Alligator mississippiensis: one gene and its partners. The protein of the gene in region 1 binds, or shares a complex with, the protein of each later gene. Links are inferred from orthologs where the notes say so. Each region holds a gene or a part of one and is shown in the gene's direction. Other genes may lie near its edges. The genes, in order: TIMM10B, TIMM10 and AGK.

The links.
Region 2: the proteins of TIMM10B (region 1) and TIMM10 are in contact, whole or in part, in a cryo-EM structure (PDB 7CGP), measured with the Homo sapiens proteins. The link is inferred for Alligator mississippiensis from reciprocal best matches to the Homo sapiens genes TIMM10B and TIMM10. Residues at the interface, in NP_036324.1 of Homo sapiens: Gln7, Leu11, Leu14, Arg15, Phe17, Leu18, Leu19, Tyr21, Asn22, Arg23, Met24, Thr25, Glu26, Cys28, Phe29, Val33, Pro34, Ser35, Leu36, His37, His38, Arg39, Leu41, Glu46, Leu49, His50, Ala53, Gly54, Ile57, His61; in NP_036588.1 of Homo sapiens: Ala6, Leu9, Leu13, Glu16, Met17, Asp20, Met21, Arg24, Ala28, Lys32, Cys50, Asp52, Arg53, Cys54, Ser56, Lys57, Tyr58, Asp60, Ile61, His62, Glu63, Arg64, Met65, Gly66, Lys68, Leu69, Leu72, Asp76.
Region 3: TIMM10B (region 1) and AGK share a complex: the UniProt entries of both Homo sapiens proteins name them as parts of the TIM22 complex. The link is inferred for Alligator mississippiensis from reciprocal best matches to the Homo sapiens genes TIMM10B and AGK.

Annotation. Positions count from the first base shown.
Region 1 is NC_081824.1:483,432,192-483,434,855, forward strand, and holds TIMM10B (mitochondrial import inner membrane translocase subunit Tim10 B), read left to right. Parts: upstream 1-1,434; 5' UTR 1,435-1,538; coding exon 1,539-1,574; intron 1,575-1,657; coding exon 1,658-1,753; intron 1,754-1,834; coding exon 1,835-2,014; 3' UTR 2,015-2,033; downstream 2,034-2,664. Other genes in the region: ARFIP2 (arfaptin-2), read right to left, coding at 1-5, 128-349, 429-544, 841-949, 1,034-1,132; DNHD1 (dynein heavy chain domain-containing protein 1), read left to right, coding at 2,140-2,180, 2,275-2,406, 2,531-2,664. UniProt on the Homo sapiens protein: Component of the TIM22 complex, a complex that mediates the import and insertion of multi-pass transmembrane proteins into the mitochondrial inner membrane.
Region 2 is NC_081825.1:172,675,155-172,678,899, forward strand, and holds the start of TIMM10 (mitochondrial import inner membrane translocase subunit Tim10), read left to right. Parts: upstream 1-1,179; 5' UTR 1,180-1,258; intron 1,259-1,534; 5' UTR 1,535-1,580; coding exon 1,581-1,651; intron 1,652-2,174; coding exon 2,175-2,376; 3' UTR 2,377-3,745.
Region 3 is NC_081827.1:110,420,748-110,424,492, forward strand, and holds the start of AGK (acylglycerol kinase, mitochondrial), read left to right. Parts: upstream 1-1,515; 5' UTR 1,516-1,603; intron 1,604-1,721; 5' UTR 1,722-1,723; coding exon 1,724-1,908; intron 1,909-3,745. UniProt on the Homo sapiens protein: Lipid kinase that can phosphorylate both monoacylglycerol and diacylglycerol to form lysophosphatidic acid (LPA) and phosphatidic acid (PA), respectively. Does not phosphorylate sphingosine. Phosphorylates ceramide.

The DNA of each region.
Region 1 (2,664 bases):
TCCTCCTGCGGGCACAGCGCAGGGTCAGGCCGACGCCGCCCAGCCGCCACCATGCACCAGCCATCACCCGTGCTGCGGGAACGGGAGCGGGGCCCGGAGACCGCGGACCCCGGGCTCCACCACGTACCTGGAGCTCGGGAGACTTCTGGCTGAGGTCGGAGAAGGCGTCGCCCAGGGCGTGCTGGGTCTGCACCAGGCTGTAGAAGTGGCTGGTGAGGGCGCGCGCCAGCTGCAGCACGCACTCGTACTTGCGCTTGGTCTCCCGCAGCAGCTCGATCTGCGTCTCCAGCTCCAGGTCCACGGTGCGCGACCCGCGCCCGAACCGCTCCGAGATCAGCTGCTTCGTGCACTGCGGGTGCGGGGGGCGTCAGCACTGCCGCACAGGCGCCCCCCCCCCGCCCCGCGGCCACCCCAGGGGGGGGACCCACCTTGTACGTGTTGATGCCCCACTTCTTAACGATGTCGAACTTCTCCACGGCGATGCCCCTGACGACCTCCTCGCCCGCGGCGGCGGGGCCCGGGTGAGGCGGGTGCAGGCCGGCGCCTGCAAGGCGGCGGGCGGGGGGGTGAGCGGGGGCAGGACCGGGGCGGGGGGGGTGGCGAGGTCCGGGGCGGGGGGCGGAGGGGGCCGGTACCTGCGGACGCGCCGGCCTGGCTGGCGATGGAGTCGCTGGGCGACACGGAGGGTGGCGGGGGCCAGCGAGGCCGTGCGGGACGGCCTGGAAGGGGGGGCCAGGCCGGGGGGGCGAGCGCGGGGTGAAGAGGGGGACGCGAGAGCGTGGCTGACGGGGGTCCCCGGGGCAGCTCGACCCCCACCCCCCGGCGCCCGCGGGCCCCCACCTTTGCCGGCGCCCGTGGGGATGATGCCCTCGGCCGTGCCGCCGTAGCCGCCGGACACGATGCTGGTCTCGTTGAGGTTGGGCCCCGACACCATCACCTGCTGCAGGTCCTGGGGGGGGGGGGGGGGGGTGCGGTGAGCGCCACCGCGGCAGTGCCCCTCCCGGCCCACTCCTCCCCTCCCCTCCCCCCGCACCTGCTCGAGCCCGTCGTCCTCGGCCAGGCCGCCCGCGTCGCCGTTGCCGTGGATCGGGATCTCCATGGTGGCCGCCTTGCCCAGCAGCGCGTCCGTCATCCTGGGGCTGGGGGGGGCGGGGGGGTGCGTCCGGCCGGCCCCAATCCTGGCCCCGCGCCCGCGGCCACGTCCCCGGCCCCGCCCCCACGCCCCGCCGGCCCCGCCCCCTGCGCACCTGTCCCCACCCCCACCCGGGCCCGCTCCCGCTCCCGCTGCCGCTCCGCACCTGCTCCGGCGCCGCCGGGTGCCCCCGGGAGGCCCCGATCCCCGCTCGGCTCCGGCGCCCCCCCCCGCACAGCGGAATAGACGTCAGAGCCCGGGCAGGGGGCGCCGGGAGGCGGACAGAAGTGACGACATACTGAAGCCAGCGCGCGGGCGGAAGGGAGTCCCCCCCTGACGCGGACGAAGGGCGGAAGTAGGGGCGGAGTTGGCGTCAGAGCGAGGGCGGAAGTGGCGGCGCGCGGGCATGGAGCCGTCGGCGGAGCAGCAGCAGCTCCGCAGTGTCAGTGCCGGGGGTGGAGGGGGGACAGGATGGGGCGGGTAAGGGAGGCGGGAGCCGTTGGTCCGACCCTTGCTCCGTTGCAGCTGCGGGATTTCCTGCTGCTCTACAACCGCATGACCGAGCTGTGCTTCGCGCGCTGCGTGGCCGACATGGACTGCCGGCCGCTCACCCACCCCGAGGTGAGTGCGGGCGCACGGCCCCGCCCCCGCCCCGCTGGCCCCGCCCCCTCGCGCTGACCCCGCCCCCTCTCCTGCCCGCAGGACTCGTGCGTGGAGCGCTGCGCGGTCAAGCTGGTGCGCGCCAACCACAGCCTGATGCGCGCCTACGTGCGGCTCATGCCCGCCCTCGTGCAGCGCCGCGCCGCCGACCTCGAGGCCGCCGCCGGGATCGACACCGGGACCGGGACCGACACCAACGTGTTGCAGCGGGCGCCGCAATAAACCGTCCCCCTTCCCCCCACTCCCCCGAGTCGGCTGCGGGCGTGTGGGCGGGGCCTCGACGGGGCGGGGCTCGCGCTGGCCCCGCCCCCTCCCGCGCCGCCGCTAACGGCCCCGCATCCGCCCGCATGGAGCCGCCCGACGGGGCGGGCAGCCCGGGGCCGTCGCGGTGAGCCCCCCACCCCCGCCCCGGAGGGTCCTGGGGGTCCCTGTGTCCAGCTCCTGCGCGGGGCGCCCGCGCTCACAGCCGCGCTGCCCTGCAGGCCCCGGCCGGGCTCCCCCCGCGCCGCGCCGCCCCGCACGGGCGTGCAGACCGCCGAGGCGATGGTGCGGGACAAGCCCCTGGGCAGGACGGAGGTCGCCTACCTCAACGTCGCCGCTGGCCGCCACTACCGGTAACGGGCGGGGCTGGGTCACGGCTCCCGGGGGCTGCACCCCCCCCCCAACGGCTCCCCGGGGTGACGGGCACGACGCCGCCCTCGCCGGGGCGCCCCCTCCTAGCCGTGCTGTCGCCCGCAGGCCGTACAGCCTGGCCGCGGTGCCCAAGGCGAGGGCGGCCCCGCAGCACTACGTCTTCTCGCCCTTCGGCGTGCTGCACGTGCAGCCGGGGCAGGGGGCCGAGGCGCTGGCGCTGGGCGCGTGGCACCGGGAGG
Region 2 (3,745 bases), on another chromosome or scaffold:
AAGACCCACTTCCCTCCACATATCATAAACACTATAAAGCCTTTTCCTTAACCTTTCTCCAGTCACTCCTCCTTGAGCAGAGTCAAAGCTTGAGGAAGCCTGGAAACCTTTTGGGGACTGCTATGAGTGAGCACAGCAGGCTGCTAGGCAGCAACCTTGACCATAGAAAGCTTGGGCATTAGTCCTAAAGAGGACAACTGTATATGATTGTGGAGAGGGGAGGCACTTTGTAACTGTTACAGTAAATAACAAGTGTTATTGCCTCAGAAATTAAATGTAAAACAAAACTAAAAGCCACAGCACCTTCCCCCCCACCCTGCCAGTGCCCCTTGCTCCCAACCCACAGCCATGCTAAGCTAAACTGACTTCTTTGCTGTATTTGCAGACAGGCTGGCCGTGCTGCCGGCCGTAGCATAAGGGAAGTCTCTCGTTAGCTCCCTGACGTCCAAGTCATCGCTGTGCTTCTTCCATGGCCTGTGCGAGGGATCCACGACCCTTGTGATCCCGGGTCCCCCGGTCGTGCCAACTCCTGCCCCCAAAGTCACACAACTAGCTTGTCTGACTTAAACTCCAACCCCGACTCATCACCTAGCATCACGCTGAACCACATCGGAGCACCTGCCTCCCCTGCCAACACCCCCGTGCAGCTGGGGGCCGCCCTTGGACTGCAGCGGCCGCCACGTCTTGCACGAGGAGCAAGAGCGGCTCAGGGCAGGAAAGCGCCCCCTCGCCCCTGGGGACCCGCACGAGGAGAGATGCTGCACGTGGCGCCTCCAGGCTGCTCCGAGCAGGGGCCCTGCAGGAAATGCAGGCTCCCTCCCCGGTTGCTTTTGGGGCTGGGGAGCGCAGGGCGGGGACGGCTGTGTGCTCTCGCAGAGGACAATGCTTCCAGCTGTTCAGTGAAGCGGTCACATCCACGCCGAGGCCCAGACGGCTTGCAGCACGCACATCCCGCCAGCTCTCCCCGGCCCCCAGAGGCACGTCAACCCCAGCCCCCGCGTCCCCATGGCAACATGCCCCGCCCCACTCCCGGCTAGCCCTCCACGCCCCTGGAGTCCCACCCCCTGCCCGTGCCCGCTCCCGCTCCTGCTCCCTCCCAACCCCGCCCCCGCGCGTCTCTGTGGTTGGCAGGCCGGGCCTCCCGATCCCGCCCAATCGCTGCGCTGCCGGAAATGACGTTCTCCCCGCTCTTTGAGCCGGGGAGGGGGGTGCCTCCTTCCCGGAAGTGCTGGTGGCCCCACGTGGTTCCGGCTGGCAGGTGGGGTGGAGGTGGCCTCCTGCCCTCGCCCGGCCCCTGCGCACGGGCATGGGGCGGCCGAGGCGGGAGGGGAGCACGGTGCCAAGGCTGCTCCCCTGCTGGGGTCTGACCGCGCTCCGTGCAGAGGGTGCAGGGGCTGCCCCGTAGGGAGGCGCCGCCAGCTCCTCGGGGTCCCCGCGGCCTCGGGTGCGCTGGGGTCGTCGTTGACGCCGCCTCGGGTGTAGCTGGGCGCTGCCCGGGGCTGGGGCAGCACTGACAGTTTTTGTGCCTTTCCAGGAGATCCCGGCCCTGCCTCAGCTGCACGGGACGCGGAGCTTAGGCGATGGATCCTGTGCAGGCGCAGCGGCTGGCAGCGGAGCTGGAGGTGGAGATGATGGCTGACATGTACAACAGGTCATGACCCCGTCCAAAGACCCCTGCAGGGCTCTGGGCTTTACTCCGTGCTCCTAAGCGCCTGGGGGGAGGAAGAGAGAGGGAAATATCTGCCTGTGGGCTGTTGCAGGCCACAGGACTCCTACTTTCAAGTGCAGGAATATCTCATGTGTCCATTTCCTTGCTGGGGGGCCCCTGCAGGATGCATCACCAAAGCTGTGTGTATGTGAGCAGGTTCCTGGAGTTGAAATGTCAGAGAGCCTGTGAATGGATGGAAATACACTGGTCGAGCTATGTGGGGTGTATGGATCTGTGATGGCAAGGGGATGGGGCTGCGGAGTGTGAGCAAGGCTGTGTGCATATGGAAAGGAAAGCCTAGGATGCAGTAGCAGGGGAGGTGCAGTGGCCATTTAAGGTATCCACAGAGCGGGGCGGGGGAAGAACTAATGTCTGGAATGGTTGCTGTGCTGTGTGTGAAGGAGACTGGCCTGGTGAGCAGGGGCGTGTAGAGATTCTCATAATGTCTCCCTCCTTTGTACCCCAGGATGACCAATGCCTGCCACCGGAAGTGTGTCCCCCCCCACTACAAGGAGGCTGAGCTCTCCAAAGGGGAGTCTGTATGCCTGGACCGCTGTGTCTCCAAGTACCTGGACATTCATGAACGCATGGGCAAGAAATTGACAGAGCTCTCCATGCAAGATGAGGAGCTGATGAAGCGGATTCAGCAGGGGGCTGGGGCGGTTTAAGAATCCCTCTTCAGCTTTGGACAGCAAGTGTGATAGGCCCTGAGTGCACTGGACTGCCGCCTAGATTCAGCCCTGGGTCCCCTGTCAATAAAGCCTTGATAGTTTTGTATGAGCAGCACTGGGCCTCTGCCTTCCAACAAGGGGATCCTGTGCTGAGATTCGCTGTTTAGCTGTTTCCTGCTGAGTGGATGAGGTCCTATCTCTGCCCTTCCCAGATGATGCTCCTAGTGAGCAGCATTGTCCCAAATAGGGATGAGGTCCCAATCCTATCCTAGTGGTGTCTCTTTATTGACTAATGGAGCAAAGGCTTGATCCAGGGTAGTTTGTGATGAAGTGTCCTCTTGCAGGAGGTCGGGCTAGAACCCTCGTCCCAGCTCTTTTACCCCTTTGATAGCATGATGGATTGGCTGCAGGGGGCACTGCCTCCAGGTGGATGTATATTCCCTATGGTATTGTGCTCATCAAATCTCCATGGTACTCTCACAGAGCAGCATGCCCCTGTCAGATTTGAGTAATCCCCTCCTGGCTGCAGTTTGCCTTTCACTTTCAGCTCCAAACTCTGTGACAGAGCCTGTTCCTATTTTCTGTTGGGCAACCCTTGTCCTTTTCCCCCCTCCCCCCAGAGATGGCTGCATTTTTGTTCGGGGAGGCAAACTGCTGGCTGTAATCTGAAGAATTTCCTTGCAATCCTTGATGGCTGTAGCTGCTATGTGTGGCCAGCAGGGGGCATGCTGCTGCTGGGGAAAGCACATGGGAGTTTCACTTGGCTTTCAGTTCATGGCTTTAGTAAATATTTTTACAAGCCTGGCTCCTAATTGGTGTTTTCCTCCTTTCTCTCATCCCAGTTTCTGATTTGTGGTTAATTACACGGCAGCTCCATTTAGCCTGAGGGTGAAGCTTCTAATCCCAGTGACCTCCAGGGAGTGGCTAGGAGTTATTTTTACTGCATGCAATTCAGTCCTCTTGGGGCTCAGTCTGGTTTTCCTGGAAGATGCTGCATGATGATTTCCTCAGAATTCGCTGGCAGGAAAAACTATGTGTACAGCAGCTTTTGTTTGCACTGGGGACTATGCAGGCACCTGGGAGGGGGATTTTGAGGTTGGCTTGGGGGTACGGACAGCTATAGCAAGGCTGTAGCAGCAAGTGAGGGTAGGGGCTGTGTTGGAGGAGACTGAGAGGGGGTTGCATGAGGCTAGGGATAGCAAACAGCAGGGGGAAGGCCTTACTGGCCTGGCTTTGTCTAGCTCTAGCCTTTGATTGTTAGGGCGAGAGAGCCGAGAGGGAGCACAGCAGGGGTGGAATGGAAATAGGGATAGAAGTGTTTGGAGGTTAGAGAGACGGACATTGAAGACTATATGGACTAAGCTCC
Region 3 (3,745 bases), on another chromosome or scaffold:
GCTAGCAGAGAGCAGATTTAGACTGGACATTAGGAAGAACTTCTTCACAGTTCGAGTGGCCAAGGTCTGGAACGGGCTCCCAAGGGAGGTGGTGCTCTCCCCTACCCTGGGGGTCTTCAAAAGGAGGTTAGACGAGTATCTAGCTGGGGTCATTTAGACCCAGCACTCTTTCCTGCTTATGCAGGGGGTCGGACTTGATGATCTATTGAGGTCCCTTCCGACCCTAACATCTATGAATCTATGAATCTATGATGCACATGGCCTGCAGCAGTGTGCTGATTGTCATGTGTCAAAGGATGTTATGCGGCCCACAGGTTGAGAACACAGTCTGCGGACCCCCAGGGGTCCACAGACCACAGGTTAAAAACCAGTGTTATAGGAAATTCTCTTCAGGTTTCAGGCATGCCTGTTGCTGGTCACAACCGTTTCATTGTTGGCCATAATGGCATTAAGCACAGAAATGGACCTAGAAAGAGAGCCCTTCACACTCCCTCCAAAACACTCCTGTTTGTCATTCTGTTGGATGACTAAGCCATGGAGCTGATTTATCGTGGGCAGCACATTGGGTTTGTAGGATGACGCGCTCTTGGAAGCCACATGAATTTGTGGGTATAAACACAGGTGGCAAGGGCAAGGATCAGACCTTGGCTTGAGGGACTTGGCAAGACATGAACATTGGGTTAGGAAGACCTTGGAAAGAGATTTCAGCAAACCAAGGAGTCTGGAGCAGATTGGGAAACACGTATGTAACAAGACTGGGGTGTTGCAACTCAGTAAGTGCAAGATGCGGCCCGTAACTCGAAGTCCCACAGGGAGTCAGCCCTGGGGCTGAGACCACATCTCAGGCCTCCCGATCCCTTGTTCATAGAATCGTAGAAAAGCAGAGGTGGGCTCGGGAACGGATGTGTCCCCCCATCCTCTTGCTAAAGGTGGCAGTTGGAGAGGAGGGTCCAGTTTTCTCCTACTCTGTCCTCTATTGACACGAAACCCAACACCTTTATGTCTTCTCTTCAAGAAACCTGATGGAAAAAAGTCTTTGCTAAATCAGCTCTCCATTCAAGAGAAGAACAGAGGACATAAAGGCATCGGGTTTTGTACCAACAGAGGACAACCGGACTGTCCTCTATGATGGCCCCCTAGCTCACGCTGGCACAGGCTGGAGGGGGAGGCCGTCTTCCTTGGATCTCTCCATTGTATTACAACAATCCTGGCAGCTGCCGGACCTGTCCCCATAGCGGGCCAGGCACTTGCGTCAGGGTTGCCCGGGACAGTGGATTTGCAGGGGCCGGTTGGACAGGGCCGGCCCAGCCTGTGGCGCGGCTTGGACTAGGGGCCCTGGGAGTGGGGGCGTCTGCGCCCAGGGTGTGCCAGGGTGCGAAGAAACAACCCCCAACACCGCTTTTCCTGTCAAAGCAGCAGCGGCTTGAAACAGGGGGCCTCAGGCACTCACCCAGCGTCTTGGGTCCGGCGCCGGGCAGGAGCCCAGCCGGCTCCACCCCCCGCGGCCGGAACCACAGTGCGGCGGCGCCGCTTTCCAGCCGGGCCGCCGAGCGCGACGTACCGCACCGCACCGCACCGCGCCGCCTCGGCCGGGGGCTGCCACGTGGGTCGCGGGGGCCGGCGGGACCCTGCCCGGCCGTGGGGGGTGTTTGGTTGGGGGGAGGGGGTGTCGGGGGGTGTGTGGGAGTGCGTCACGTGTGTCCGGTCTCGCTTCCTCGCAGGGATGAGGAGCAGCCCGCCTCCTGATTCCTGCTGTGCCCTGCGGAAGTGGCCCGGCCCGGCCCGGCCCGGCCCGAGCATGGCCCGCGTGGTCGGGATGTTTAAGACCCTCAGGACCCACTGGAAGAAAAGCACGGTGGGGGTCTGCCTGTGCGCCTGGGGAGGAAGCTGGGTGTACGGCAAGCACTGGTAACTATGCCCTCCCCCTTCTGCCCCCTCCCCCAGGCTTGAGACAGGAGGCATTGGGCAGATAGATCTGGCAAGCGGGTGGCGGGAAATGCTGGTGGTTTGGGAGGCTTGAGATAGAAAGGGGCTGGGGGCAGCCTGCTGGGCAGTGGCAAAGCTGTCCTTTGCTAAAGAGGTTTCCCCCCAGTGGCCTGTGCTCAGAGAGGAGCTGCAGCAGCTCGGCCACAGGGAGTGTGGGTGGGCACTGCCGTGCTCTGAACACTGCCAGCAGGGATTAATTTTTGGCTTTCTTTTTAAAACACCAGGCCCATTTAAAAAACAACAACAACATCAACAACAACAAACAAACTAAAGCGATCAGGGAGATATTCTTCTTCTATTTCCAGACAGCAGGTCCCATTCTCTGTTAAGACATTGCCCTTTTCGTGGGCTTGTCTCGGTGTGTACTGCTTGAGTTTTCTTCTTGTTGCTGTTATTTCTCTCGGTCTTCCTTTTCTTCTAACGTGGTTCGAGCGGGCTTGGCCTCGCTGGAGCATCTCTCGTTCCCAACGCTTTTCTGTTTTACAATGCTTTTTCAAAGCTCGGGAATCTCTTTGTGATGATCGCTGTTCCTGTTCCACTAAACTGCACTCCAGAGAGGGCAGGTGAACGTAACTGCTGACTTCCAGAGAGATTTCATAGACATTAGGGCTGGAAGGGACCTCGGAAGATCATCAAGTCCAGCCCCCTGCCCAAAGGGCAGGAAGTCAGCTGGGGTCATAGGATCCCCGCAAGTTAAGCATCCAGTTTCATCTTGAAGGTGTTCAATGTAGGCGTTTGAACCACCTCCAGTGGCAGGCTGTTCCAGACCTTGGGGGCTCGGACAGTAAAGAAATTCTTCCTTGTGTCCAGCCTGAAACGGGCTTGTAGTAGTTTATGACCATTCGACCTCGTCATCCCTTGGGGCGCTCTGGTGAACAAACGTTCCCCCAGATACTGGTGGTCACCCCTGATAAACTTATAGGTGGCCATCAGATCACCCCTGAGCCTGCGCTTTTCCAGGCTAAAGAGCCCCATGGCTCTCAGCCTGTCATCGTAGGGTCTGCTTCTCTGACCTCCCTGACCACGTGGCTCTTCTCTGGACTCTCAAGCTTCTCCACATCCTTTTTGAATTGTGGAGCCCAAAACTGGACACAGTACTCCAGCTGCGGCCTCACCAAGGCCAAGTACAAGGGGAGAATGACGTCCCGGGATTTGCTTGAGAAGCATCTATGGATGCCAGCCAGCGTTTTGGTCGCTTTACTAGTCATCCTGTAGCTGCTTTGTTGCGTGTTTGGGGTAGGTCATGGAGGGCCCTCTTAAAAGATGCACAGGCCCTCAGAGTAGCTTAGATCACATTTAAATGAGGGTGGGAAGATGAGATCTATTTTCTGCTCCAGCTAGTGAAATCCAGTCTGCAGACATTTGGTGGGGATTTCAAACAGCATTACAGCGGTCCTCAATCTCCAGCCTGCAGACTGGTGCCATCCAGCCTATGCGTCTCCCCCTAGGTGTGGAAATTGGATGGCAGAGAAGCAGTGACAGTGCTAAGAGCAGATTTCCAGACCCATGGAGGAGCCCTGTGGGTTAGATGACATGGGCCACAACAAAATTGCGTCCTGTGCACGGGGTCACTCTGCAAGAAGATCTGGGAGTGCAGAACTGGGATGGTGCAACAAATCACACCAGCAGAGCAACCCTGTGCATTGACCCCACCCGGGATCTGGCCCACAAACCAGCCCCATACCACTTGTTCAGCCCACAGGGCCAGATAAGTTAATCAGCACTGGTTTTATAGCAGTGAATAAAAATGTATGGTCTC